4 linked regions of the Styela clava genome follow. The main gene of each other region encodes a partner of the protein of the gene in region 4 in a complex. Links are inferred from orthologs where the notes say so. Each region holds a gene or a part of one and is shown on either strand. Other genes may lie near its edges.

Evidence for each region.
Region 1: coiled-coil and C2 domain-containing protein 2A-like (region 4) and tectonic-like complex member MKS1 share a complex: the UniProt entries of both Homo sapiens proteins name them as parts of the tectonic-like complex. The link is inferred for Styela clava from reciprocal best matches to the Homo sapiens genes CC2D2A and MKS1.
Region 2: coiled-coil and C2 domain-containing protein 2A-like (region 4) and transmembrane protein 237-like share a complex: the UniProt entries of both Homo sapiens proteins name them as parts of the tectonic-like complex. The link is inferred for Styela clava from reciprocal best matches to the Homo sapiens genes CC2D2A and TMEM237.
Region 3: coiled-coil and C2 domain-containing protein 2A-like (region 4) and uncharacterized protein LOC120345914 share a complex: the UniProt entries of both Homo sapiens proteins name them as parts of the tectonic-like complex. The link is inferred for Styela clava from reciprocal best matches to the Homo sapiens genes CC2D2A and AHI1.

What each region holds. Positions count from the first base shown.
Region 1 is NC_135257.1:11,288,066-11,295,316, reverse strand, and holds the start of tectonic-like complex member MKS1, read right to left. Parts: upstream 3,021-7,251; 5' UTR 2,637-3,020; coding exon 2,560-2,636; intron 39-2,559; coding exon 1-38. Other genes in the region: rifampicin phosphotransferase-like, read right to left, coding at 5,062-5,120, 6,529-6,706, 7,135-7,251. UniProt on the Homo sapiens protein: Component of the tectonic-like complex, a complex localized at the transition zone of primary cilia and acting as a barrier that prevents diffusion of transmembrane proteins between the cilia and plasma membranes.
Region 2 is NC_135253.1:6,409,883-6,417,808, forward strand, and holds the start of transmembrane protein 237-like, read right to left. Parts: upstream 3,025-7,926; 5' UTR 2,047-3,024; coding exon 1,763-2,046; intron 1,248-1,762; coding exon 1,057-1,247; intron 823-1,056; coding exon 665-822; intron 192-664; coding exon 49-191; intron 1-48. UniProt on the Homo sapiens protein: Component of the transition zone in primary cilia. Required for ciliogenesis.
Region 3 is NC_135257.1:13,083,316-13,090,698, forward strand, and holds the start of uncharacterized protein LOC120345914, read right to left. Parts: upstream 3,005-7,383; 5' UTR 2,891-3,004; intron 698-2,890; exon of another isoform or gene 637-697; 5' UTR 476-636; intron 399-475; 5' UTR 261-398; coding exon 205-260; intron 1-204. Other genes in the region: uncharacterized protein LOC120345286, read left to right, coding at 4,361-4,478, 4,845-4,971, 5,328-5,417, 6,331-6,528, 7,028-7,090, 7,174-7,276, 7,357-7,383. UniProt on the Homo sapiens protein: Involved in vesicle trafficking and required for ciliogenesis, formation of primary non-motile cilium, and recruitment of RAB8A to the basal body of primary cilium.
Region 4 is NC_135259.1:2,067,108-2,074,816, reverse strand, and holds the start of coiled-coil and C2 domain-containing protein 2A-like, read right to left. Parts: upstream 3,021-7,709; 5' UTR 2,980-3,020; coding exon 2,633-2,979; intron 2,221-2,632; coding exon 2,108-2,220; intron 1,751-2,107; coding exon 1,678-1,750; intron 1,493-1,677; coding exon 1,379-1,492; intron 1,177-1,378; coding exon 989-1,176; intron 1-988. UniProt on the Homo sapiens protein: Component of the tectonic-like complex, a complex localized at the transition zone of primary cilia and acting as a barrier that prevents diffusion of transmembrane proteins between the cilia and plasma membranes.

The sequences.
Region 1 (7,251 bases), on a different chromosome or scaffold from region 4:
ATCCTAGAATTGCTGGACTGACACGTTGGAGATTGATACTGCAAAACAAGTTAAACTTCTTAATTTAGTTATATTGATTTCCCTAAAGCGGGTAGGTATTTTCCATCAGTTACAAAATATATTATAAATAGAAAAAATTGTTGACTAAATTTCTGATAGGTTTCCAATTGTAATAGCAATAAAAGATGAAAATAATGATGATAATCTTACAGGGTATAATATCAATGGATGAATATTCGAAGGTCAAATTTAAATTATTTTTCGATAAGATAATAATTTTTTTTGAAATCCACCATGGTACAAAATAATTACAATACACAAGACGAAAACACTGGATTGAAATACTTAAAAGTTATGAAAACCTCAAATGAGATTGAAAACATGAGACTTAAAGTACTACATAAGCAATGCCACCTTGTGACATGGAATAGGTAAGTGAAAAAACGAGACTATACTCTGTGTTAAGCTCAGGAGCATTGTGATAATACATAAAAATATTTAGAAAATAATCGGAATAAAGTAAATCAATATACATAGAAGACAAAAAACAAACAAGATCTTGGTCATAAGAGACACATTTAGGACTTCGGATTCAATCCAATATTTAGGAATGCATATTTTTCTTAGACAGCTTGTAAATGAGTAGGTAGTAAATGACATAAATAATAAGATCTAAAACTATTGTCGGACATTCTCCAAAAATGATCAACTCGACTCACTAAAAACTGTGAACTAATTACCAATAAACTTTTCCTCATTCAGTATAGCCTAATAAGCATCATATATGTGCACTTGAATATAAATTTCACTGATATGAAGCACAGTTTAATTATAGTGAAAATCCTATTTACAGAGTTAATTGATTGCTTGCTTACCTCAAGGTTTTTTGTAAATGCTATAAATTAAATTATGGCATAGCATAGAACAGCGGCTCCCAAAGGTGGCATTTGCTAAGTGCGCCAGAAAAATTAACAAAATTATGTTAAACAAATATATGATTGAATATTTGAAGAGATATGTTCAGAGAAGAAGCCGCACATCTCTCATTAGATAAATAAGTACAAATGTTATGTTGTTTTGTTGATATTGCCTTTATTCTTTTCACGTTTACAAACTCCGAAAAGCATAAAATACACAATAACGATCACAAAATTATGTTTTATTCAAAGGCAGCAATTTCGTTTTCGTGTAAGTCATGAAATGAGTTTTTTCCCTGACAATTTGGCATAGCAAGAACAAAAATTTTGGAAATCGCTTGCTTAGGAAATAGAGTAAGAGGCTAGTTGGTACTTACAAAATGAACTATTAATCAGATGAAGTATGTGATCTATTATAAGATGAAGTGTAAACCAATCAGTAAATCTTATCGAAACTAAGCTTAACCATGTCTCGCTTTTGTCTAACTAGTGTAGGATTTTTTAATGGTTAAAATGTTGGGATTGTGATAACGCCAAATTTGATACTCTGTCTCTTTAAGGTAATTTCAGTTATAATAATTATCAAAACAATATTGAAAATATATTTAGGATAAATAATTCTGTTTTTACCCTCTGGAGTTGGGTGGAATATAATATAAAATTATCAGATTGGCTCAATCAAGTAAGAACTAGATCTATATTGAAATTACTATTGCATAATTATAGAAGACTGAAATACCGGGTCTCGTGTAGTTTCGTACCTAACGTACTTCTAGTGGGTGTAGCATAACAATTTTTTGATATGTCAATCCTAACCCCCATCTGACTACGCCATCCAAAAATTAAATCACTACGACATCAAAATCACGTCATAGAGCTTGCCAAATATACGCATGATCGACCGAAATGGCATTGGCGCCGACGATAAAGAACTGACTGACGTTATCGGTCTCTCTCCTATTGAAATCGTTGCGACGAGAAAACGAGAGAAATAACTGTTCGATTTCGCAAGTGCAGTTTTAAGTATTCTGTGGCATCTGCAGCTGCCGCAAAACCATGTCGGTATTTCCATACCATGGCCGCTACGGCCAAACTCATGGCAACTGACTTTTTAGCTGCCACAAACCAATGTCGAGCTGCCGTTACCGCGGCAGCAAATTGAAAACCAATGACAGGTAAAATTTTGCTGCCGTAACCGCGGCAGGTGGGCCGTAAAGACAAGGCTGTCTATTATGGTGACAAATATAGGGTAAGTTGGAACGTTTTTCTGATGGATACAGTTTTGATTGATTTGGGGTTAGGGTTAGGGTTTAAGTAGATATAATTCCACATGATCAATTAAAATCTGGTACATTATTTTGTGAATATACCGTTAATACTGATTACTGAATAGCGCTATAAAACCATGGCAAGAGCTGCCGCGGTTCGTTCGTGGCAGGAGCTGCCATGAAGTGGTAAGAACTGCGCCTCCGATTTCGGGTGCTCGTCTTGGATGGCAGTTCGTATAGTTTGAAGGGCTCTATTACGTCACTGTGACGTCGTAATGATGAATAAATGAGTTCAATAAATAAACACTATTAATGATACATTGGTAATAGAATAGCAAGAGGAATTACAAGAAAATAAAGGATGAAATACTGACCTGAGACGAAAATTTTTAATGGGGTCTCCCGAACGATATGTTGCACCACCAGTATCTACTTCATAAGATTTGTCCATGTGTTGTGAGGTTAAATATCAGTTGCACCAAATAATTCAAAATCGAATAACACGAATAACTACGGTATGTCCTGAAAGCTGGTTACAGAAATACTGGTACTGTCCACCTTGCTTTAAACAGTTTTGTCGAATCCCAGGCACGATAAGTGTTTTGATTGACACATCTCTACATAATATATCAAGCGGTCGAGTGGCCCGGGTCAAATAGATTTGGCGAGGTGATCTTTTGGTCGTAAAAAAGTAAAGAAAGGTTTCAATTTTCCCAATTTTTATACGGCGTAAAACATGTTATCAACCGTGGAAAATTATTCCTGCAAAAATAGATAAACTGCCAGTCCACGTGAAAAAGTGGAAATTATATAAAACTCGTTTTTAAGAGCAAAGCTATTTCTATGTTACCAGATGTTTCTATGTCTATAAAATGTCATGTTCTATTAGTATAAATAAGAGGATCTTTTGACGGTACTTGATTCCCTAGCCAAAACGTGTCTTCAGTCTGAGCGGAGTCGCTGCTCTAAACGCACTCAATTTAAATCTGTTTTATTTTCAAGTTATCTCTTGATATGCATTTTTAAAAATTCATTTCCTTTCCTATTAATTGAAAGTGATTTGTATATCACACGTATCTATTCAGTTGTGCGGAACGTTAGTTGTAATGCAAAAACGCAAAAACCGAGTGTTGATTAAAGTACCAGGTATATCAGCAGAGCACTTTTCCGGATTATGAAGAAGGTGCACTCCCACAAAAAATTCGATAGATTCATGATCGCTAGCGTTTCAGTGCCAATTTCAAGAATATCAGGAGCACAAATTGCCACCGTCCTAGACGTTCAAGGCTTCTTGTCAAGTGCAGTTTCAAGTATTTTGTGGCGTCTGAAGCTGCCGAATAACCATGGTGGGATTTCCAAACAATGGCCGGTATGGCCAAACCACGGCTTCTGACTTTTTAGCTGCCACAAACCAATGGCGAGATGCCGGTACCACGGCAGCAAATTGAAAACCAATGGCGGGTAAAATATTGCTTCCGTAATCAAGTCATGTCGGCTGTAATGGCAGGGCTACCCCTGATGGTGACATATATCGGGTAAGTTGGAACATTTTTTTTATGAATACAGTTTTGATGAATTTGGGGTTGGATTTCAGGTTTAGGTAGATATAATTCTGCATGATAAACTATAATCTGGTACATGACTTCGTGAATATACCGATAATACTGATTACTGAATAGCGCCATAAAACCATGGCAAGAAACGCCGCGGTTCGTTCGTGGCAGGAGCTGCCATGAAGTAGTAAGAACTGCGACTCCTGCTTGTAGAGCAGGGGTCGGGAACTTTTTCAGTCAAGAGAGCCATAAAAGGTACATATTTTCACTGCATTTCCGTGCGAGTCATATAGCATTTTTCACTTAATCAGGCCTGAAATTTTTACTCAAAAGTCAACACATAGGCTACAATGCCAATATACATTCAATGTGACTTGTGAATTGTGATGCTGCATGTTGTCTCTGCGGGCTTTGAACGGCTGCTCACATGCAGCACAAGTTGAAATCTACGATACTCATCAGCCATCACCCTTTTTGGTTTAGGCATCTCCTTAGTATTTCAAAAACTAGCTATGCTAGTCCGATTTAAATATGACAAATACTGTAACTAGTATGTACGAACGGACGAAAAGCTTCATTCTATTACTCCTCGGCTCTATCGCTTTGTGATGTCAAAAAATATGTTCCAGAATCTCCTAGTTTTGTCACAATGCCTGTCTGATAATTCTCTTATATAATATGAATTCTTAATAATCCATAGTCGAACACAATATATAATACAGAATAGATCAAATTTAATTCTGCAATGCCATGCTAAAATAAGGTAGATTTCAGTTATTGCGATATTTTCCCGGGCTGAACCGGCCGATTTGAGACACGAAGCAATTGAGAAATCAAATTAGCAAAAATTCCAGTTTGTTTGGGATCCCAATAAATGATTGAAATACAATGAAGGTAATCTGACTCATTTTTCTGGTCTGCATTCGCAAGACACCCCTCAATTTCCGATCTGCTCCTTTAGATATATATATATAAGTGTGTGTGTAACAGCCGATTCTTCAGCTTTTTGGGACCTGTCACATCGACTGAGGTGTGATTTTAACAAACGAAATACTGATATCCCATATGCTAATATTAGGTAGGACGCCGTATAAATATACTATACAGAGACGTTGGTGTCAGAAATGAAACTTATATTTATTTATTCTATATATAACAGAAAATTAGTGATATCACACGATTGCTGATAAAAGTACAATTATCAAATAGGAGACAGTGGAGTATAAGGCAAAATTGCATCAAAACGGTAATCAAAATACAAGGTCATTAAAAATCACGGATTGAGGTTGAATTTCCCATATAGACGTTGTTAAAAATAAAATATTATTCCGAAGACAATTTCTGAATGATTCCTTTCCCGCCGTCGATCATGATATAATCTCCTAAAAACAAAAACAGTATTTTCATCAAAAGCACTTAATTGGGTAATATAATACAGTAAATGCTTTTATTTTTCGTTATTAAGTGTTTTTTCCTGCACTAGTATATATACCCCGGATGTGGTTCAATGCAAAAATTAATTTTTCTAAAAATATATGAATTGCCACATTAATATACATTTTCTACGGCATTACAATTTGAAATAGTCGAATATCACTTTTTATTGTATACTCGATTAGGTAATATTATTATTATTCTACTCAAAAATTACCCATATATACCATTTTAATTGTTTTCTAGAAAAATTGACCCTGTAAAATCATATAACTAGTAAACAGGTTGATTTTAAGAAATTTTGCTAAATAGAAAAGCATTTTTCATATATATACGAGGTGCGGCTAAAAGGAAACGGGACTGACGTCACAGATTGCGCAACATGATTTACCACCGGTAATCAGCACTTTTACAGTGTGGCGTAATATGTGTTCTTTGTTCAACAGCTGTTTTGACACAATATCGCAATTATTTTTGCTTTTTAGGAGCCATAGGTGAATGTGATTAATTGCTTGTTGAAAAAAATTGCTTTGCGAGATCTGATTGAGTTTTTTGGCGATAGGGGGTTCAATTGCAGAATGACGATTGAGCGAAGAATTAACATTAAATTTTGTGTCAAACTCGGAAAAAACGGCGGATGAGACTTTGAAGATGTTGCGTGATGTTTATGGAGATTTTTCCATATCCAGAGTTTTTAAGTGGCACAAGCGATTTGTGGAAGGCAGGGAAGATGTTGAGAATGATCCAAAGTCAGGGAGGCCCTGCACTTCCACAACTGATACCAACATCAAAAAGGTTCGGCAGTTGGTTCGCAGTGACCGTCGCTTAACAATTCGCGTCATTGCCAAAGAAGTTGCGATGGACAAAGAAACGGTCCGCACCATTTTGGTTGACACTTTGGGAATGCGAAAGGTGTGTGCCAAAATGATGCCAAGGCTCTTGAGTTGACTGAGGAGCCGAAAGCTCAACGATTGAATGCATGCCGATTTGACATGCATTTTTCCAAGTTTGACACACAATTTAATGTTAATTCTTTGCTCAATCGTCATTCTGCAATTGAACCCCCTATCGCCAAAAAACTCAATCAGACCTCGCACAGCATTTTTTTCGACAAGCAATTTATCACATTCACTTATGGATCCTGAAAAGCAAAAATAATTGCGATATTGTGTCAAAACAGCCGTTAAACAAAGAACACATGTTACGCCACACTGCAAAAGTGTTGATTACCGATGGTTAATCGTGTTGCGCAATCTGTGACGTCAGTCCCGTTTCATTTTAGTCGCACCTCGTATATATATATTAAATTTGAAAATGGCACTGTTTATGGTATAATTTGAGTATATAAGATGGTACCCGTTTTGAAAAGAATTGTTGCTTTCTTTGCACTGACAACACACGGCAGTCCATATTCTCTGGCGACGACAGCGCCATGTGATATCAAACCTCCGATTTCTGTCACTAATCCTGATATCAATGGAAAATACGGACTCCATCCAACATCTGTTGTCCTCACAATCAGAATATCACCTTGCTGTAGGTAGAAAAAATCACATGTTAACTAAGACTCAAGACCTCTTGGTAGAGTATAAATGGGCTATTATAATTGGGTAGGGTGCTAAACACAAATTGGGATATTCATGGGCGGTAACGAGAAATGCGAATTCAAACGCAAATATTACTACGTACATAAGCAGGAGTATTACCAATACCAGCACATATAATAATTTATGCCTTATGGCATAAATGCGAGCATGCAATTGTTTACATCAAAGACATCTGAGTTTATTATATATAAAATAAAAAACGTATGGAGGAAATTTGGTTAGGATATGTGTGCTTTGACTCATTAAAATGGTTTTCCTAGAACCACACTTTCATGTTTTTTTGGATAACCAGGATATACATGTGTACAAAAATTGATTTCAAGAATTGTTGGTAAAAAGAAATACCATTGCCCACCTTAATTTGATTCGCATGTTCCAAAGATAAAGCCACTCTTGCGGTTCCCTTAACCACACCGTGACTAACAGGAAACCCCGTAAGCTTAAGTCCATTTCTCTCCTCTTCAACTATATC
Region 2 (7,926 bases), on a different chromosome or scaffold from region 4:
CCAGGATAAATATGTAAATCCTATCCTATTTTAATACACAATACTTACCCTTGATACTGAGTTAGAAGATTCTGCTCCCCTAAACCATTCAAGGAATAGCTGATGACAACCTGCCATATTGAGAATCCAGCTAGTGCACCATGCAGTAATAATGTAATGAACATAAATGCTTTCTCATTTTGCTCGGCAATCTGGAAATGAATTTATGATGTTTATCAGTGCTTTTAAGGCTTCTTTCTAATTAGCTAATTTGTGACCAAAGTAGTCCAGATACAATGATTATTTCTGATTGGAAAATATACTGAATAGAATTAGAAAAGCAAACCAAGTGGGTCATATTATGATGTCATAATTTCTTAACTATTAAACACCCCCCCATTGGGTTTCTAGGCAAGCCACTGAAAAAAATCTAAACTTTAAGTGGTTCAGACTAAAAACTTCTACTCCACAAGATCAGCGGTGGCAGGATAGGCTCGGCAGTGTGGCGCATCGTGCTAAGCGTTCAGAATACGCTCGCCACCGCACCTCTGATTATCCTACGTGGGTTCGAATCCCATGCAGTGACAGTTATGTGCGAGAAGACTGCTGGACTACTCGCCGCCATAGGGCGGTTCACGTAACCGCCCCGAGGTATATATGTAAATCCTATCCTATCAATCCTCACATTGGACGGTTTCATTGTTGCCTCTCCATATGTCATTTGTGCTTCGCTTCCCATACTTTTCATAAAACGGTCATTCAACCAATCTTGATTGTGTGTTGCAAATCCATTGGTAGTTTGTACATAGACTTTGTCAGTTGCCGCACTTCCACCTGATCCAGCTATTCAAAAAATCAGCATTTTTAACACTGGAAAAATTACCAAGGACGGTTTCCACTGGCTTTAACAGGTTTTTATACAAGATTTTGTAAGTTCAAATACCACAATAATAGAGTAAATGCTTGTGTAATAAACTAATCTTGTTTGCGCAGAAAAAATGAGGTTTTCTTAAAATCTGTTTACATTTGATTGAACTAGATGAATATCTATGACAGTTATGAAAGATATATACTCACCGGCAACACCAGGAAGGTTTGTCATTACTATAGCATCTTCAATTTTCTCAACATTTACTACATCTTCATCTTGTAGCAATGCTGAAACTGTATTTCCAGTGGATACTTCTCCTGTTCCACCAGGACTCTGATTAGCACCAGCTGGTTTTCTTCTTCTTTTTGTCCTGGGCTTTGCTGTGGAAGAAGGTCCACTAAACATAAGAGAAATCATAATTTTTAAACGAGGTGTCCTTTCACTTCATAGAACTAAATTTACTATTGGATGAGAATACTGGTGGTGAGAACATGACTACGTAGGCATCACAGGTTATAGATCCTTGGCTCAAACCTCACTGAGAATGTAATAAGTTGTATAGAGTAGACAGTGCCAAACAGAAAGTGTACTTCAGCTTGCAGATTAGACCCAGAACTCTAATACGTCTGTACGTGGAGTACACATACTCGTAGCTCACTAGACAAGACTGTATTATTCAAATACAACAGTTTGACATGTTACAGCGCTCAAAATAAACAGACCCTAGTGAAAGATTTCTGTTCATCTGAAAACCATTATTCTGTCAGAGGTCTTAAACATCTTGTATACAAATGACCATTGTGGACAGCATTAATTTTGCCTTTAATTAATGTGATCTAAAGGTATAAAACATTTTGTTAAGAAAGAAAATTCCTAATCTTATCTATTAGTCTGTACATGATTCACACTAACCTTCCTTCACTCATTTGAGTTTCATCAGCTACACTGGCCGCTGCTGAAGATGGTTGTAAAGATCCTGTTTCGATTCCATCCTGTTGTCTTGGACTTCTTCGGCGTCTCGTTTTCGTTACAGGTCGTTTCGAACCTGTACCGGGTGAATTGTCTGCTCCGCTGGTAGGTGGTCTGGTTTTCTTTCGAGGAGTCGGCACTTGTGATCCATCACCAACATGTGAAGCACCAGCGGTTAGTGGAGGCAATGCTCGAGGAGGAAGCGAACGGGGTTCACTGAGTGACATTATTAAAAATCCAAGTTTTAAAAAATTCTACTTGTAAATTGGTCAAAATCTTCTACATTCAGATGACTGGAAAATAAGGGGTTTTAAATCCTCCAGAAAATATTTATGTGAGGAGTACGCACTTTTCCTTCATTTAAAAAGTAAAGAATGATTAGTTACGGGTATTTAATTTCTTGTGGTTGAATCGAATGAAGAGATAATTATTTGAATAACAAAAAATCAAGTTAACTAATTTGACAATATACCGTACTGTATTCTTCTATTGGACACAAAGTCAAGCTGACAATTTATTTTTGGGAAGTTGAAAATTTCAATATTTCTATACACTGATATAAAATAGGCTTCCAATTATTCCCAAATGCAGCGAGTACCTTTTCTTGATTCATTGTAAACTTATATGTTAATTAACAGGCACATGATATTTCTTATGTTTTAAACTTAATATAGAATAATATATCAGAATATAACGTTAGAATTTTTCGTAGCTTCCCAGAATTCTCCAATTTAATTTGTGTGTATGTATTCTGGAGTTTTAAAAATAATCTATAAACTGCGGCGGTTCCTCAACTATAATTTAGTAATAACTGGCTTTAATTAGGGAATGAGGTATAACTTCATTGATTGTATATAGATATACATTGAAATAGATTGTTTATTTATTTCTGGCCTAATCCTTGTAAGTTTGTGTTTTTGTAATCTTTTTGCGTGTGTGCTGGTGAGCAGGCACATAATATTTCTCATGTTTTAAAGTTCTGTTCGCTCTCCAGAGGTCTCCATTTCCAAGCTATGCTGCTATGTGTAACATGGAGTTTTCGAAATGAACTATCTGTCTTTGTGTTCTAAGTTACACTTATAGTTATAACTTATACCATCCATCTTTGCATACAAAATTTACATGTCAAATTAAATTTTCCAAAAGAAAACTGTTAATACATTAAATCAATTGGTTAAAAGAATTTGAAAAATCTGACAACACGAAGCGTCCCGTCGCCGAGCACCAACTCATGCATAAATAAAGCTGAGACCTGACCTGGGATTCTATTTGATGTTTTTTTAACCTTTGACCTATCCTATCCTTGACCCAACGAACAACATTTTTGCTCGACTCTTTTTGCCTTTCTGCTACCTACTAAAACGACGTTTCACAACTAAGAACTCAATGATGAAACCCAGTTTACAGACTCAATTTAATGCCCGAAACCGCTGTTGAATGACCGTCACAGTGCAATGAGAATATATATCTCATTACTCAGTGCAATGACATTAAACAACATGATGGGCAACTCTGACGTCACTCCATAAGACTACAGGCAAAACATTGTATTTCATGATACGCTCCAATGCACATATTTCTCGTCGCCTTTCGCGTCCGTTTTCCGCTCGCTCTTGCTACTCGGCGTCTTTTTTACGTATAGTACCTGCCTTTTTGCGCCTGTAACGAAACAAAATAATCTCTATATCTAAGAAGTTTTGCTTACTTGGAAAGCTGGAATAACAGGCAAGCTGTAAATAGCAATTCTGGACATCATAGACGTTTTTTTTTATCAGAGAAGATTACAAACGCGATAGCGGAAAGATTAGTGTGGAACATTTTGCAGATAATGACAAAGTTCAAAGTTAGTAATTTTAATGTTTGCGCTTAATCATTGAAATTTCATACAAAACTGTGCTGCGATACAATTCCATAACACAAAGTTTGCACCTATCGAACTTGCATTTGTAGGTGAATTTATTAGACATATTACATATTCAGTTAATCGTAGGTAACATTGCTGGTACATAATGCATCGTAGATAGGTTTGTTTAAATTTAGGAATTTAGCTCATAGCCCACTAATTAATATTATCTTCTATGCAGGAGGTTGCAGGGCTGAATTCAACTTGCAGCCTTACCGATCACCTGACGATGCTCATTTAGTTTGGCTCGAGCAAGTCTTCTTGAAATGCTTGTGTGGATGGAAACTACCTATATTTTTTGCCTTCCTCCGATTTTAGACAAATTTATTCTGAGGGATTTCGCATATAATTCTCACTGATTGTTGGCTGTTTATAATTCCTATTGATTGTGAATTCTGATTATAACAATGAGTTGAAAATTTTTTTACCTAATTTACTGGCACCTTTTTCTTGTCAATACTCCAAGCTGAGGTAATAAACATGACAATACATTTATGTCATCTGGAAGCAAAATATGCACACTAATTAATAGTTTGGCACATTGAGATAATACATCATGACAGAAAATACAAATTAAAGATATGTATGACCATCACATGATAATTAAAATTAAAAAAAATTAATAGGGGCTGTGGAGTATGGAAAGTTCAAGACAAAGAAAAGAACAAATGTTCATAGCTCATGAACTCTCAATTTTGCCTCCATTGCTTTGTGAAGGCCAGTATATTTCGAGTGGCTGAATTGGTTTACCTTTATGATAGCAACGATTTTGTATTTAATATAGCGAGATTATTTCAATTTAATTGAAGTGATATAATTTCCCAAAGCAATGCTTGAATCGTCTATCAGTGGTGTCAAACTCATGGGTTTTCGAGAGCCGCATTGCATTTTGAAAATTGTAAAAAGAGCCGCAAACAGTTTTTGATAATGTATACTTAAAAGATATTTTTAAGATAGTGTTAGTTTGTGACATATTTTGTGATGCAACTAAACAGTTGGATTAAGTTTTATTATTTTCTTCAATTTCAAATGCAATTACATATTAATATTTGCATTCCACTATTATTGCAACATTTGCAAGTTACAGTATTTATTATAAAAAATCGTAAAATTCTATGTACAACCATCAAAATCATTTTTGAACAAGCTTTGAATAAGGAAAGAATAATACATACACTAAAAATAACTTAATCTAAATATATGAACCTAAAATTAACAAAAATACTACAGTATAAACTCAATGTTTTAATAATTACATTTGTCCTGGCGTTTGGCATCTTTTTTGTGTCACCAGCATACTAAGGCCAGTCTGAAATGATTTTATAGTACCAACTCTAACTAACGAGGCCACATGATCATGGATTTATCTGGATCTTTACGAATGTTTAATTAATTCCAGTAATGCAAAAAAGTTACTTTTATCATTTCATGTATAGATCAGTAAAAAAACAAATGACAGATTTTTTCGACAAGACATTTCGCACTACATTGCGTGGCATAGGATTGCTTGAATTGTTATTGATATTGATTTTTAGTAACTAAGTCGTTGTATAATTATATTAATATACAAACACATGGAAATTTTCTGTTCGAAGTTGGTCTTCGAATTTGTCATATTGACTGCTTAGCTTATTGTGTTTTTTGATTGTATTGATGGAAATATGACAAATTAAACAATGTGCTTCAGAATTTTGTGAAGAGCAGAAATGTTACAACTCCCATTTTCTTCGAAAATGCCACCTTTTTCATGTACTTTGCGTTTAATTTAATTACTCAAGTGTTTTATTCAAGTATTCTTTTGCTAGCTTGATGTGTATTCTTGATTGGGTCAAAATGTGGACAAAAAAAAATCAATATTCCAAAACTACTTTCAGTAAATTGTTTTCTGTGTGAATAATCAATTTCACTTTAGAAGGTTTGAAAAATCTATTACATTTAGATAAAAATAAAAAAACTTCCAAAATACTATTACAATTATTGTTAAACGTTCGAGGGCCGCACTGGAAGTTCTCTGGGGCCGCGAGTTTGAGATCCCTGGTCTAGATTGAAGTTGTTCAAAAAATATATGATAGTATTTTATCATGAATGATGATTATACCCCTTCCGGAATTTCTTCTATAGTACTACCAAAAGTTGATGAACCAAATATAACACAGGTGCAGTGAGGTACCCGTAATCCTCATTTCCAAAGCTGTTTTAAGTATGTCTGGCGTGTTTTGTGCCTTTTTACAAATAAGACCGCTTATGCAATCTTACGCTTTGGAATTTTTAGTTATTTTCCTCAAGCCCTGCAGGATGTGGGGGCCATACACAACTCTACCGGAGGGTCAAATGTCTTTGCATGCCTCCATAGGTTGTTTTTCTATTGCAATTTTCTATTTTCAAATCCATTATATTTCTTGGAATCACACTGTCACTGATATGTCGCCAGACTTCTGATATCTCCCCGTCTGCTATAGTTGTCCTGTGAATAAATAATAGGAATTTGAAATTAGACGAATAGTTGAAAGTTTTGCTTTATGTCGGCTTAATTTCTTGATTGATATACTTACTATTTCTGCTATTGCCTCTTGTGCTGCAAGAGTCTCACAATGCTTAGACAGGTTTGTCCACAACTTTCACATCTGAAGAAAGAGAGGAGATTTATTAATTTTCGTTAGGAATAAATAAAGCAGTCTATATGATTCAGAATGGAAAAGCTAATAAATCCAATATCTTATGTTTTATTTAAAAAATATTTTACTGAATTTGGTATATAAACCAACTAATAAAAGGGTTTAGTCAGAAAATTACAAGCATTCGTGGCTCCAAATACTTGAGAAATCAGACTATACAACATAGACCGGTATGAGTGAAATGTTAGGTGAACTTGTTAACACTTTGATTCAATACGCAAATAAAAGTGAATGCGTAATAGTATGTTACAATGAGCAGCAATCAACAATGAGTATATATCCTCACTGATTAAAAAATCTAACTGGAGGTGCATGAACTATTTGAAACCATAAGGGGTAAGTAAATATGTAATTTCGGCAAATGGGCAACTACGTAGCGTACTGAATTAATAACTTCGTAGTATTTGACAAAGGCTGGCTTTCCCACATGTACTTAACAGTGCGATGCCCGGGTGTGATATACAACAATAGTATTCACCTTACCTTTTACCGATCTCTTTTTACCCCAACTTTCAAAAATATCATTAAAATCGACAACAACTGTCAAAACAGGCACGAACACCATTCGTGCTACGCCTTGAAAGCAGCACACATCCGCTCGTTTTCGTCTCGTCAAGTATGTGCATTGGAGCGTGCTATCGAATACGATCTTCGGACAAAAATGCCGGAGTTGCGCATCATGTTGTTTAATGTCATTGCTCAGTGCAAATCAACGACTGGTGAAAATCTAAATTGAACGGTTTGACCAAAGATGCATTGTCTCTGGTTTGACCAACCCCGTGTAACTTCCGATATTTGTCCCGATGTTGGATTCGCCGTCACGCCCGACTAGGCGCAGACAGATTATTGCTTCCAAAATCATCGTGCGTTTTTCTGTGTTCTGACGGCGTTATCTCACGACAAGATTAAGTGAGTGGCTTTATAAATATTCAAATTAATTGTGCATCAACTTTAATAAAGATTTTATTATAGAATGCAGATTACAAAACAAAATAGAAGAGCAATCATTTGAGAGGGAAGGCCCTAGAACCGGTCCTAGCACTTAAAAGCATGTTGACAAATGACAGTAAGATCTGAAGATTTCAAATTCGCTTCAAGGCTCCAATGAGTAGATGTAGTAGAGAATCACTTTGTGCTACGATTGTTAAGCATAAAAAGAGTAAGTTGTGAATGTCCTAGGTAGCCAATACAGAAATGATTTGTCGAGGAATGTAAATTTTGATAAGAAATCAAGATATTATGTAGTAACCTAATATGTATATTTTCAGGAAGAAAGGAATCATAAAAAAGTTGTAGTGTGAGGATTTATGCCGTGTAGCAGTAAGCAAGGATATGAATTGACTAATAGGTAATGATTTATCTCAAAAATCAGAATCAACTTACACCATACAGCCATATCAACGAAAATTTTTGATTGAGGAACTAAAACTTTCGGCAAAAAAGATATCTGGTGAACGATACCACCCTGAAATTGTAAGGTCGGTATGAAAACATAAATTGAACACACATATTTTAACTTCAAATAATGA
Region 3 (7,383 bases), on a different chromosome or scaffold from region 4:
TAATAAACAGAATAAATGAATGAAATATAATTTATTAGTCAATGCCGTCGAAAAATAACTAGACTATAACATCACAAGTTTGCCAGAGGCATAGATGTACCCTAACTGCCTAAAGATATAACAAATGAATGGATTAGTAGCTGAGAAATAATGATGCTGACAAAGAAGGCAGCCATTAACTCTATAGAATGAAAATGTAGTTACCTTCCTGTATCTTTTAAAAGTTGTTCAAAAATTTGTCTGGTCTGATCAGTGGTCATTCTGTTATTATAAAAGCCTACAAATTTTCTTCCCAAATATCTTTCAAATTATGTCCAAAAGCAAGAAATTCAGCCTACCAACGTTGACTTGCAGACTTAGTTCTGTAGTGTTCAAAAAAGCTTTAACAGTTTAGAGGGCTGTAAAAATATTTTTTGCAGTTTTAATTTCTGTATTTGCAATTGAAGATAAGAAATAATACAGTAATATTTAATACCCTGAATCAGTTGAGTCTATCCAGTTACTAATGATCATTCCCAAGCAGGACAGACACGGAATTCAGGAATCTGATCCATGGTCGCCAATCGCTGAATGGCCATACCATGCATACTGGCCAAAATTTGAAAATAGTATGAGTTGTGAATTCCTAACGTAGCCCTGCAAATCACAAGCTTGCGCTGTTGGCCTGCCCGGTATTATGAACAAAACTCACAAAGGTATACTGATTTTACCTTGATTTATGAATGCCTGGTATTATGAACAAAACTCACAAAGGTATACTTTTTTTTTTTTTTTTTTTTTTTTTTTTTTTATGATTCCACAATGTGGTTTATGCAATATATAAAAATCATAAAATAATATATGAACAACAACAACAACAACAAGTATACAAAAATAACAAAGCATTTCATTACAGTCCATTGATTGTATTGTCCATAGTATCCCATTGCCATTGATATGTCCATCATGTAATTTCCATAATCCATAATGTTTGATCATTATTTATATTTTTTAGTATTAATTATTAAAAAAAAATTTTAATATCTATTAGTTTTGATACTATATATCACATCGTTAAAAATTCACAAGTTATTATAAATGATATCTAGTTCTCTTGTAAAATTAGGATATTGTCTCAACTTTTCTATATTTCTTCTTGCTATAAGTGACTTCTTAATTCTCATGATTACATTGCTAACATTTGGATTAACTTTTTGAAAAATTACTGTATTCCTTTCAAGCCAAATTTTGTGTCTGGCAGTGCAAAATAATAATATTATAGCATTCCGTTCTATTTTGGACAAATGTGAATAACATAGGTGAGTTAAATCTAGTAAAATACAAGTCATGTAATTATTATTCAGTACACAATGATTGATTTTTAATGCAACAGAAAAAATATAATCAAAAACATTTTGCGTAAAAGGACATTTCCAAAATAAATGAGAAACAAACTCAGGTTCTTGTGTGCAAAACACACATAAATCATTCCCAGAAATATGTTTAATTCTGGGCTTTACTTTAACAGAAAGAATATCCCACATTAATTTAAAATTGAAAGTTTTTATGTTATTGGACAATATCTTACAATGTATTTCAGAGCAGGCTCCTTCAATTGTACCATTACGAAGAAATACAATTCTGTTTCCGCCCTTCAATTTATTCACAATTTTATTATATAGTACCCTATGTTTTCCTTGTTTTAAATCATCCCCGGTTATGTTATATTGTCTAAGAAAATTAAGCAACTCTCCATAATATTTATAAGGAAAAAAAGCATGTGTCACATTATTATTAATCGGTATATTAAGTAATAAACAAAGTTGTTGTCCAATATTATATTCAATAATATTGAATGCTGATTGTCTACAATACTCAATTTTGTTACTAATCCTATCACAATAATAGTCGAATGCAGTCATTACATATAAACACATAGTAAAGGAATATTTATCATGTCATAGCCTCCAACAGCCTTGTTTTTGCACAGTGTCTCAATTTTCAATATGTTTCTGCCATTAAATATAAACTTTTCTTGTTAAATATAAACATTCACTTGTTTTGCAATTTTTAATGGGATGGGATATAATCTTGCACAGTATAAAAACAAAGGTAGAATTTTCAATTTTATTATCAGACATTTACCATCTAATGATAATGGAATATTTGAAAGTTCATCTATGACAGTTTTTGCATTATCTAAACAGTATTGCCAGTTTTCATCGCAGGTATCATGATTTGAAACCACCACTCCAAGTATGTTTAAAGTCAAGACAACAGGTACTTGTGAAAAAAAATTAGGATTGCTCCATATTCCTAATTTTAAAAGTTTAGTCTTCTCTATGTTCAACTTCATTCCAGTTGCTAATTTGAATCTTGTCATCAAATCCATTGCAGAATATACAGAGCTTTTGTTACATAGAGTCAATGTGACATCGTCTGCATAACTAATGTGTTTAATTTCTCTGTTGTGTGGTATTTTTAAGCCAATAATTTCTTTATGGGAATTAATTTTAATTAGGAGAGGTTCAATTGCTATGATAAATAAAAATAAACTTAACGGATCTCCTTGACGAATTCCTCTATCGATTCGATTCTCCATGTTTATTATGTTCTTGAGTACATAAATCCCTCAACAAAATGAGATTTTCAGATATTCTTCTTCCCGGAATTGCATACTGATGTCTATCTATGATGTCAGGTAATACACTTTTTAACCTATTTGCCAATATTTTTGTAAAGATCTTATAGTCTGTATTCAATAATGCTATTGGTCTGTAATTTTCTATTTGGTCTGGTTCTCCCTTTTTATAAATTAAAGTAGTATATCCCAATTTCATGTCTTTTGTTATTTGATAATTTTCAAATATTTCTTCCAATACTTCAAAGAATTCTGGTATACTGATTTTACCTTGATTTATGAATGCCTAAAAACTTCCTCCTGAGTCGACGGACAGAACGATGGCGTACTTGGAAACGAAAATTGTTCAAAAGTATTTATATACGACACTATGCTTCATTGATTTGTAAGGGATTGTTGGCGTTCGGATTCAAATCCGGTTCCTAAATCACCCCTGTAGTTTTCTGTCAATCCCTTCACTCGTGAGTAATGATTGTTCATATGTATGTTTGATTTGCACATGGTGATGAATGAATACTACTGCATCTAGTATTCATTCATCACCATGTGCAAATCAAACATACATATGAACAATCATTACTCACGAGTGAAGGGATTGACAGAAAACTACAGGGGTGATTTATGATAGGATTTAAATATTTATCCTGAGAGAGGAAAGTCGATAAGACGGCTTGACCATATGGCGAACCACGGCCACGTCCAGTTACCGTATTATTCCATGTCGGGTATGGGATTAGTTAGTTATTTTTTTTTCGGAAGCACGGACTTGGTGGTGGAGGAAGCCGTAACCGACCAGCGGTTACGTGAACCACCCTACGACGGCGAGGAGTCCAGCAATCCTCTCGCACATAACCATCCATGTGCGGTGGCGAGCGTATTCCTAATATTGAGGTTTATGAATCCTAACGCTTGGTACGATGAGCCACACCGCCATGACACCCTATGTGTAGAGCTGTGACACCCTATGACGCAGTGCTGTTTTCAAAGGTGGAATGTGAAAAAATGGTTAATATACATTAGTCACAAGGAAGGTAGATTAGGATTTGCAAATTTTTATCCCGGGAGAGAGGAAATTTTTTGAGGCTATTTTAAGAGTGCTTTTGCGAGTTGGCGCCTGTGAAATGGGGTATGTGTTTCAAACCATCATTATGATTCATCGCATACAACAATCTGTTTTTTAAAAGTACCGTTGAATAATTTTAGCCTAGTCTATCACAGCTATTTCTACACTAATTTTTATAACTGCAATTAAATTAAAACTCCTAGGAAGACAGGGTGACCATTGAATTATCTGATTTACATTTAAGTTTCCAAAACACAACTGAAAACTAACCAATAGAGTTCAAAAATGCGAAAACTAGGTAATGTTTACGACCACGATTGAAAATCTGTATGAGTGAGAAAAGTGTCTGAGCGGATGCGAAAAGGGAGCATTGTTACGTCACTTTTTGCAATTCGCTGATTGGCCAATGTCACGAAGTAAACGAGGAAGTCGATGCTGGGGGAAAGGTTCATGGACGTTTCCCTGACGCTTGAAAAATTCTCAACCAACCCTGCTTGAATATCAGTCTGAGCGAAAGAAGTGTCTATGAGCGACTGCACAAATTGGCATTGTTACGACGAAGTTGATTTATTGCTAAATGGTCATTGTTACGTATAGGATGTCATAATGATTATAGACACCATTCATTGACGTCGTCGTAGGAGTTGCCTACTTGCTAATTCACTTTTATAAAAGCCATGGCTATGTTTTCAGGTAGCGGTGCTCCTTCCGCGTTGCAAAAGTTTTTAAATGAGCTCAATGCAGATGTACAGGAAAAGCGACGAAAAATAAAAAAGGAAGAAGAAATAATAAAAAGTAAGTCTAACACTACCGGTATCTTCGAAATAGTCTAATCTAATTCCTTTGACTCAAAATTTGCGGGCTTCGAAAGTTTTCTTCCTTTCTATAATTTATATCTAAGTCGATTACGTCGGATGTGGCCGTCAATTTTATCCTGGGAAGGGCCAACAAGGCACGTTAGAATAGACGCAATGTCTTGTCGGGTTTTGGTATGAAATGCACATTTAGTTCAATAGTTTGCAGATCGGAGCTCAAATTAACAAGCTGCTAACATTGTCAAAATTGATACTTTTGGCTTGAACTTTTCCTACTTACCAACGTATGAGCCAAATCGGTTTCTCCGTTGACGAGACATTGATTGAATTTTTCCCACTTGTTTAGGTTTTCGGGAAGAATTGTGGAGTAAAAGAGAGAGGATTCATATATTTCAAGATAAAACAAGAGAGCTTGATGAGGCTGTGAAACAAATGCACGAAGTTTATGTGAATCAGAAACGAACTCTCGAAAGGTTGCGTACTGTTATAAATATTGGTATTACGCGTACAAAATGACCATAACAGTTGTTTACAGTATTGAAGAAATTCATTGCGTTTTACTTCCCTAAATTACGGAACTATTTGCTCCCGTTGATAAGAGAATGTTAACATGAGTCATAAGACTTAACTAAATCATACCCACCTGCAGAATAGAGAATTTGTCAAAAAGACTTTGTTACTGAGTACAGAACCAATGATATATTTTCTCAAATGATCAAAAAACGATTAATTACTATTAACCTGGATGGAGTGGATGGATGAGACCAATATTTGAGAAACTTTATAAACCAGAAAATATACAAAAAGTGTTTCTTTTTATATTTTGAAGGATAAAGGAAAATGATAGACTCTTGGATGAACATACAAATGCAAAAGCTGAAGAGCTGCAGAAAATAGTAGAGGAAAAGGCCAAAAGAAGGTTCGCTTTGTTACTTTAAGAATATGTGACCCGATATAAAGTTGAAGGAATAGAATTGTTTGGTTGGTGGATCAGAAACCAATATCTTCGCTAATGATATACTGTACACACATATATTTAGAAAATTATAGGGAAGTTTCTGTTAATATATATTTGTTTTTTGATCACATTTTATTATCATCACGCAGTTCAATTTTCCACCCTTCCTAATTCGTTTATGCCTTAAATATATAAATTGTAGTAGTCGTATTAAAAGGTGATAGGCAAAGGTTTCTGAGATGCATTTGTGAAATTTTCTAAAAAACGTCTCCTAATAAATTGCATCCATAAGTTGTAATACAACGTTAAGAAGCGGACTAACAGCCTATAAGGCGCGGACATCCCTGAAGGAATTTTCGATTTTATTGACAATGAAGCATAAATAAGTCATAGCCGTATAGATAACATCATGTTGAATACAATTTACTTTAACACATTTAGCAGTTACAATATTTTTCGAAATTGTGGATGTTGCGTTATCAAATTTCTATTTATGATAAAAGTCGCGTTGCCATATTTATGTACATCACTTTATTCGCTCCTCACTGAAAGTTGCGCTCATCCGGTCATCGGTCCGCATACGCATCGGTCTAATGAAATCATATTTGCAAGAGAGTTTGTAGGAAATGACCCGATCTGAGTTTCATCTCTGACTTCAATACAAACGATTTTTAAATAAATGAATACCAATTGTGAAATTTCTTTCACAATATTAATTGAAATTTCTTTCACAATATCCGTGGTTTTGGTTACTTCAGAGGTATACTTTGAGCCCGGAATGGAGAGCAGAACACTTGTTAAGATCAAACCTTTAGTTAAGACAATAAAATTGAATAATACTAATTTACGTAATTATGTATTGGATATTTTTAAGATTGGAACTTGAACAAAAGATAAATGGACAGGAGGAAAAGCTTGAAAATTATAAAAGAATTTACAAGTCGTTTCCGGGTGCATCGGAGCTAATGCAATTGCAAGACGAAACGCGGAGAATGGAAATAAAAAAGGCTGATGTTTTGAAAGAAATTGATATTATTGACGGTGAAATTGTTTCATTGGAGCAGCTGAGAGCAGGAAAGAGAATTATAATATTATTTCATTCATTCAAATTTGAATAAGTAATTATTTGAATAATATTTTACGATGGGATGTTTTGAAATAACTTATTAACCCGATCTTTGTTTCCCGGTAATTCAGCATTTGTTATAGGTTACTGAATAAACGTTATCTAGAAAAGATTTCGGTAATCACAAATTTTTCATATAATATGTCAATTTCATATGAAAATCTATCTTGTTTGCGCCATTGCGGGATCAGAAAATACACGATCTCCGAACTATATATTTTATAAAACACTCCCCAAATGACCATCCATATACTGTTTTTTTACATCATCCTCGAATTTCCAAATACCAGAGTCGACAAAGCTTGTGGCGTGGCCAGCAATATAGAACGTTTTTATGATTGTGACAAGCTACTGTATTGCTGATAACACGACGACTTTAACATGTTATTATATCTCGCGAATATATGTTACAGTAAATATAATCGCTACCATTTTTTTTCAAAATAGAACAACAAAAATGCGAAAATGCTCAAAAGTTCAAGACTTTACATGAATGGGGGGTTTCACTGTAAGTTGAAAATCATTGAAAAATGTGGTTGGTTCAAAATTTGTGCTTATTATTCATTAACGACGTGGATTTTTCATTCATAGTGCGAAAAAATATCTTGAACGAAGAGTGCGAATGAGTACGATAAAGTCAATTCAGCAAAAAATAGAAGAAACAAAGTTGGATATCAAGAGAATAGCAGCGCAGGTCAGGCAGATTTAGTAAATAAATGAGTCTACACTACACAACTAAGTCTACTACTATATTTCTTCTTTCAACTTTCTCAGAAGGTAGAAGAAGAAAACAAACGTAAA
Region 4 (7,709 bases):
AAAATCATGATAGTTAGCATTATGCTTCATTATGTTCTAACAATGCAATTGTAATCGATTGAAAATGCACTGACAAATGATAGAATATGGATCAATTTTTTCATACATGTATATATATATATATAGAGATAAAAAAGTATGAGGCGGTCTATATGTAGTGAAAAAGCAGGAATAAAATTTTTACGTGCTATTGTACGTTTCAAAGAGCCAATTGAGACTTCTTGCCAGGGCCTAACTCGATCCTAAAAATACCCCTAAAAAATAAAAATCATACTTTTTTGTGTAAACTAATAATTTTTTTTACAACAAGATTTTTGTATGACATTTCAAAATACAAATTTTATATCAGCTAGATCCAATTTCCATAAGTTCAATTAGTGCGACGTAACGCATGAATCCACCCAATTTAGCAGAATTTTCGAAATTTGTCAAGTATTGATGTGTAAATAGAAATTTGAATTCACTGTTAAGTCTCAGCTTTGCAATTCAAGACATAAATTTTAATTCCAGATTTGTAACATCTAAGAGTGGTATAGAGGTTGGGGTTTCATTGAAACTTCCATTAGGGTTGCTGCGCACATGTTTGGTGAGTTTACCATTTCTTGTGAATAACTTTGACGTCATCACGTCAAGAAATGGAAATTTAATGAATGGAATCTGCTGATAGCAAGCCATGAAACTTTTAAATAAACAAGGCAACAAACACACTATAATATCACCCAAACTAAATTAATTTCAGCCAATGTACATGAGTTATAATTTCAAGTGTTTCATTGCTTGATTAAATTTTAATATTAAAGATTTTCCAGAAGATCTTCTAAAAATCTGATATGTCATCGCTTTTCTGGTCGTTTGATAAATTTTCAATGAAGCTTATTTCATTACCGACAACTGCTGCATTAATGATAATAACATCTGAGCAACAACTGTAATTCTAGTTAATATTTATGTAGAAAATAAATATAGAAACAAAGAAATAAAAAATAACCTGCTGCAGTTTCAGGTTGATCTTCTACTACAGGAGCCTGTTCTATTTCTTCTTCAGCAACCTGCTCAGCATGTTCTTCTGTTGTTGCAACATCAGGAGATTCAACTTCAGGTTGCACCGTTACTTCTTCAAATTGTTTCGTGAAAAAATCATAACAATCAATATCGCTAGGTTGACCGATTTGTTTCCTTGAAAAAAAATAAATAATTGGTTCACAATTGAGCATGAAGAAAAGATGAGACCTTGACTGAACACCTTGAAAAAAAAAATAGATAATCGGTTCACAATTGAGCATGAAGAAAAGATGAGATACTGAGCACTTTACATTTTATATCCAAGAGATAGCAGAATTATCATGACTAAAAGTAAGGTAAAACATTGGTAACATACCTAGCTTTCTGTAGAACCTTCTTCCATTGCAATTTCGCCAAAACTCTGGTTTCCAATTCTCTCTCCTTTTCTAAATCAGGTCGACTGAGAGTACGCAATGGATCAACATCAAATCTGTAAAAAAATTTAAAATCTTTTCATATTCATATATGACAAATCGAAAGTTGTTTATTTGAGCTTCGGTATCCATGCGAAAATAAGATTTCCAAGATATCCATACGTGTTGCGTAAATTATAACCATAACTTATTTTGAAAATGAACAGTCTTTGCAATTTCATATCTAAATTCAACAACTGACCTGGTGCTCGAGTCTCTTAGCCTTTCTTTTAATCTTTGAGTTCTTTTTCTCTCTTCGCCCATTTGAGAAAACTCTGAAATATATTTTCATTGATAAAAAAGACAATACAATAGTGAATAAATCATTATATTTGTCAATGTTTTATCAAAAAAAAATTGTTGTTTCATTTTTCCCGTGTGATTGGTAACATCCCAAGTGTTTTTATCATTATTATTATGCCCTAAAAAGGTAATCTGGTGTTTATTATTGGTCACAAAAAAATTATAATGTAATATTCGAAAATTTAAATTACCTTTTTCACTGTTAGATAAATGTACAATTTTAATTTGACTTTTTGGTGTACTCAAAGGAGCTTTAGAGCTTTAAAGGATGCAAATAACCAAATATTAATGCTAAAGTAAATAAACCTTATGTTACTCATGCGAAATACCTCGCTTTTGTTTAGCCGCCTGAAGCTTGGCTTGCAATCTATCACGCAAGGACATTCCAGCAGATCGAGTGCCAAATGTGCTGTTGAATGTGCTTTCCAAATCGGATTGGGGACTGCAAAAAATAATTAGAAAAATTATCAATATTGGCATTACACAACATATTCATTGAATTAAATTACCGGTATTAGATAAAACTAAGCCATAATATGTGCTTTCCAATTCGGATTGGAGACTGCAAAAAATAATTAGAAAAATTATCAATATTGGCATTACACAACATATTCATGGAATTAAATTACCGGTATTAGATACAACTAAGCAATAATATGTGCTTTCCAATTCGGATTGGGGACTGCAAAAAATAATTAGGAAAAAATATTAATATTGGCATTACCCATATATTCATTGAATTAAATTATTAGATATTCCTAAGCAATAATATAGTCGGGGTCATGCCCTTCAATGATAATTTGAAATTATTGTCAAGTCATATCTATTCAGTACACTTTACGGAGGTAAGTTACCGAGACAATTCCTGAGACTGGCCAGGTGACATAGCTGGTGTGATAGACCTTGGTGATTCTTGTAATCTTGAAGTAGGAAGTCGAACATCAGATTGAGGACGAAGCATTTCGGAAGTTTGGAGTCTTTTACGTGTAGCATCATGACGAGATTCTAGTTTCTCAATCAAACGACTAGTCGATGCTGTCTCCTCATCTCCAATAGTAGGAATATCAGCATCACCATCACTGTCATCATTATTGATTGTAGTAACATCAAGTGCTGTTGAATCAGTTGTTTGCATCGTTATATTCATTGCTTTTCGTCTTTCTTGCAACTTTTTTTGTAAAGTATCCGAAGTAGAATCCATGTTTCAACTTTTCAAAAATTACAGATGATAAGAGACACTACATAAAAATATTATCACAAATTTAAAATAAACATTCAATAGGATGTTCAACAGACCTCTCAGTATCACTACCCTATAGTTTGACTACGAAGTACGAATAGGCGATATTACCGGCTTTTCTCTCTCTGGGGATAAATATGTAATTCATATCCTATCCTACATACTGACATTAAGACATAACTTGGATATAGTTCAGAACTGTAGAACAGTGTTTCCAGGTTTCTTTACTCTGGGCCTGGGGGATGCATATTCATAAATTTAAAGGGATGTCTGTAACACATGGTCTATAGATGGAGCTTTATGAAGCGTATCTTGTTGCTATATGCCAGTCTGTCGAATACGATACTGAAATATGATAGATAAACACAATGACAATTTATTATCAAATACAGAAATATGAAATGCTAAATTGACACCACCAACACTTGAACTTTTATGACAGTTTGATTATTTGCTGTTTAAGTTATATCTAATACATATTGACATCTCAAGCCTGAGTAATATTGAATGGCAGCAGGAGTCTAAGTCCACCCAGCAAATTAATTGTTGGAAAGAGAATAGGTTAAAGTGGTACGCGGTGACAGTATGAACACGAAGTAGTCTAACTCTAGTGTTTAGAGTTGGGGTCGGCAAACTTTTTCATGCCGAAGGGCAAAATTACCGACTACCAGTGCCGGTAGTCTGATTAAGCTATTTATGCCCATCCTGATTAAATCATAATCAGGCCGTGTAGATTTTAGAGAAAAAATAAATGGAGTATCCTTCTAACGACTTCTTCCGTCTCCAAGTACTGAAAATATCAAACTGATTGTTCAAACACGATTTTACATATCGCTGTGTTATGGACAACACAATTTGGTTAAATACTGGTAACTATTTTTGCAATTTGGAGGGTCTGGGGTTGGAAAAGACAGCTGACAAGTCTGAAAGTGGAAAAGCTGGAAAGTGAATACAACAGAGTTGTGAAGAAATGTACGACTTTTTGCCACAGATATTCCACTCATAACTACACAAGCCAGTTTAATTCTGTAATTTGATTTTTTAACTCTGTTGAACTTATATTTGGCCACTTCATGAATGGTATTAATCAGCACTTCACCATATCTCAGGATGTCCTGTTCACTTTATAACAAAGTTAAGGACTAAAGAAGTTTCACTATGAATAGTATAGTATGCTGGGCATTGCTGGCAGGGAATGGAAATTTTAAAGACACCCACAAATTTTCCAATTGCAAGTGTGCTTTCTGTTTAACATGGTTGTTTGTATTGTGTTACTTTTGATAAATATGCCTTGAATTGTTCATCTTATTTTAATGGCAAAATTATCTATGTTGTATTTTTTATGAGCTTTGGCAATATCTATTTTTTCCTCTTCTGCTGCCAATAAGTGGTTATGTACCGCCTAAGACATCAGCATAATTTGAATTTTCTACTGTAACATCAATGTTTCACTGCTGCCCATGATATTTCTTTGTGTGTGTAATTGAGATTGCTTTTATTGTTTTAATAAATGATTCTACACCTCCATGCAGCCATGTTGCCTGCCAATATTGACAGTGTTTGGATATTGTTTTGGTAAATAGTTCCAATGTATATAGCTTTTTTGTGTATTTTTTGTGTTACTAGTCACTAGGTATTTTCTTCTAACATTGGCACGCATTGTTTGGTATTTGTATTCACAGCTATTTCAAGCTATTGTCACTTTCTATTCCCACTTTTATTCCCACTATTCAAAACTTCATGCTGTTTTTCAACCATGTATTTATTTATCTGTCTTGCACATTTGATAGGTTTTCGGTGATTTTTTTCATTTCTGACAGCAAGCGATGTCTCCCATAGATTTTGACTTGTATATTTCTATGCTATATAGGAATCTCAGACCCAAAATTTACAGAATTCGAGATCAGCTTTATTTATATATATGTACTGCAAGGCTAATCCTGGTGATTTCTCAGCTACCATAATCGTATACGAACATTTGAAACATCTATCAGAGACGGAGGAGGTCGTTGGGATTCTATTACACTTAATTTTATCTACCTGAATTTTGCTGTCTTATTTCAAGCGCAACACTTATTTTACTCCATGTAAATTATCCACTGATTCAAGCAATTATTTGGCTTTTATCATTTTAAATTGAGTTGTAAGCACTGCCCGATTTTGAATCGTGTCCAAATTTTTTGTTTAACGTTACTCGTATTATTCCTATTTTATTTTTGGTGGGTGGGCACGTACTTGTACGTTTTTTAACTTTATTTTAAGTTATGCTCTCTTTTAGGTATCTCTGTATTTGTTGTCTGTTTACTTTTTTGTATTGTTCCGTTTTAGTCAGAGACCCGAAATACAATGATTGATTGATTGAGTACAGGAGTATGAAGACAAAATGGTGGATGAGCTGACGGATTTTATTTAAACTATACTTATTTTTGTTGTTGAAAACATACTTATAACTGCCGGTACCGGTAGCTATAAGCCTATAACTGACAAAACTACAAAACAAGTCAATGTCCAGTTGAATGTGAACAAATTTGCCAGAAAAGTTTGAATAAAAAAGGTGGGTCTATCTGCAGATCTGCGCACTACTAAACTTTCTCATTGTTTCATCGGCGTATACCGGCCTTCTTTTAAGTTTATATCATTCTTTACTACGGAGTATCTAAATACAGTATTGAACTATGGAGAAGCAAGCCTGTGCTATAACATTTTAAAATTTGTTTCCAATGTTTACAATTATATTTGTATTAACTGCCCGCTAGGTGTCACTTTCGTTGCTAGGCTACAAAATCAAAACCGTGTCGTCTGCTAACCCAAAATGTCAGGATAAAAATAAATAAATGCATAAAAAATCAGGTACCTGAATGTCAGCAGGGAAATGTTAAAATAATTGTTGGCACATCGTGCGCCGTCTAAGTGATAGGAATTACGGTACCTGATGAGAATATACATCAGCGGTCCCCAAAGTGGGCAAAAACGTCCTCTTGTGGGCGTTTGCTATAACTTGGGAGGCGCTGATGGCGATTTAGGCGAGTGGGGGGCGCTGGCTGTCAAACTGGGCGATTGGGGGGCACTGACATCAATACGGGAACTCACAAAAAGTGTGATATTTTATGTCATTTACTCCTATGTTTTGGTTCAAATTAGTTTGTTTGTGATCCCGGTGTTGGAAATTTCACGCTTAACGTAGAATAGGTATTATGATTTTTTTAAATCTGTATTGTTGTTTCATAATAATACCAGTCTAGCGCATACGGCATATGCTTCTTTCACCATGCACTTAACGTTTCGTTGTACTGTATTGAATTATAGCTTCATTTTACTATCGGGTTCTATGGTGCTTTCAAGCGGTAGTGTAAGTATCCTACAACACCCATGTTCTAATTCTGGTTTTGTTAAGAGCAACATGTGAGAGTTGGGCATCCGATTGAACTGACGTACGCCAGATAATACCATCTCCATGTTGCGACTTAACTGGTTAATTTTTATTTCTTGCGTCATTGAATAATAAGGCTACATACCTAATACTTAAATCGACAAACGGCAAACATCTAGCCTTTTGTTATATCATGTTGTGTCTGACACTGTTTAATGTCGGTTTATCATTTGTATTTCGTAAGTTCAAACTATCAAATACAGTGACTTAAGCAGCACATTTAACTGATTTATATTAAAAACAGTATTATACAGCGTAGTCCCCAAAAAACGGAACCATCAATTACTTCTACGAAAATTGAGTGAATTATTTAATTTTGTCTACATTTGAACTTCTGTTTACGTATGTTTGTACCCAAAGGTGTCGGAAAATCTAGGACGTTTTTCACAAAAATTATGTTGTTTCTAGAATATGTTCCAAATGGTTTCCTCGGCATTGAAGAAAGAATTGCATTTATTTTGCAACATTGTCAATCACTTTTCTTTGGGTATTTTTCTATTTTATTTCTGCAATCGTTTGAGGATTGTCTTGATACAAATTGTCTTTCGAACACCCTACATATCAAAATCTGAGAGGTTTCAGTCCGATAATTGAGGTGTCCACTGGATGTCATTGCTGACTTTTCTCTCAGGAAAACAAGCGTCTGATTTGATATATGGGGGGTCGCCTCGTCATGCTTGAACCCCTGCTGGTTGCCTCTTTCAATATCTCAAGTAATGTGCAGATTTTTCCTGGCACAACCACGTAATCTTCTGTAATCACCGTTTGAACTCTTTCATTTCCATGTCCTAACAGCAGAAGGTGCGCTTCATCGTAAAATAGGGTTGCCAACCGTCCCGGGATGGCCGGGACAGTCCCGGAATTGACGTCAGGCGTCCCGTGTCCCGGGCTGGACTACTGTTGTCTCGGAATTTACTGGCAACCAAGGCGTGCTGGAATATAAGGCCATGTAAGCGTGTCACACTACTATTTTAGAACGCCACTGATATCAGTGGATTTAGAATTGATTACTTTATTTTTGTAAAGAGTACAAGTTTGAACTTAAACATTTGACAGGAACTTCACTTGTGGTAAACAATCATTAAATTACTATCGTTACGGGTGTTATAGGAGTTCTTCATTATCTTTTAAACAATTTATAATCTCATGTCATCTTCACAAACCTGCAAACCGAGTGTGTAGAGCAAAGTGATTCTGATGTAGAATGTAATGTGGAGGATACATTGGAACAAACTCCGCCCAAAAAGAAAGGCAAACTTTC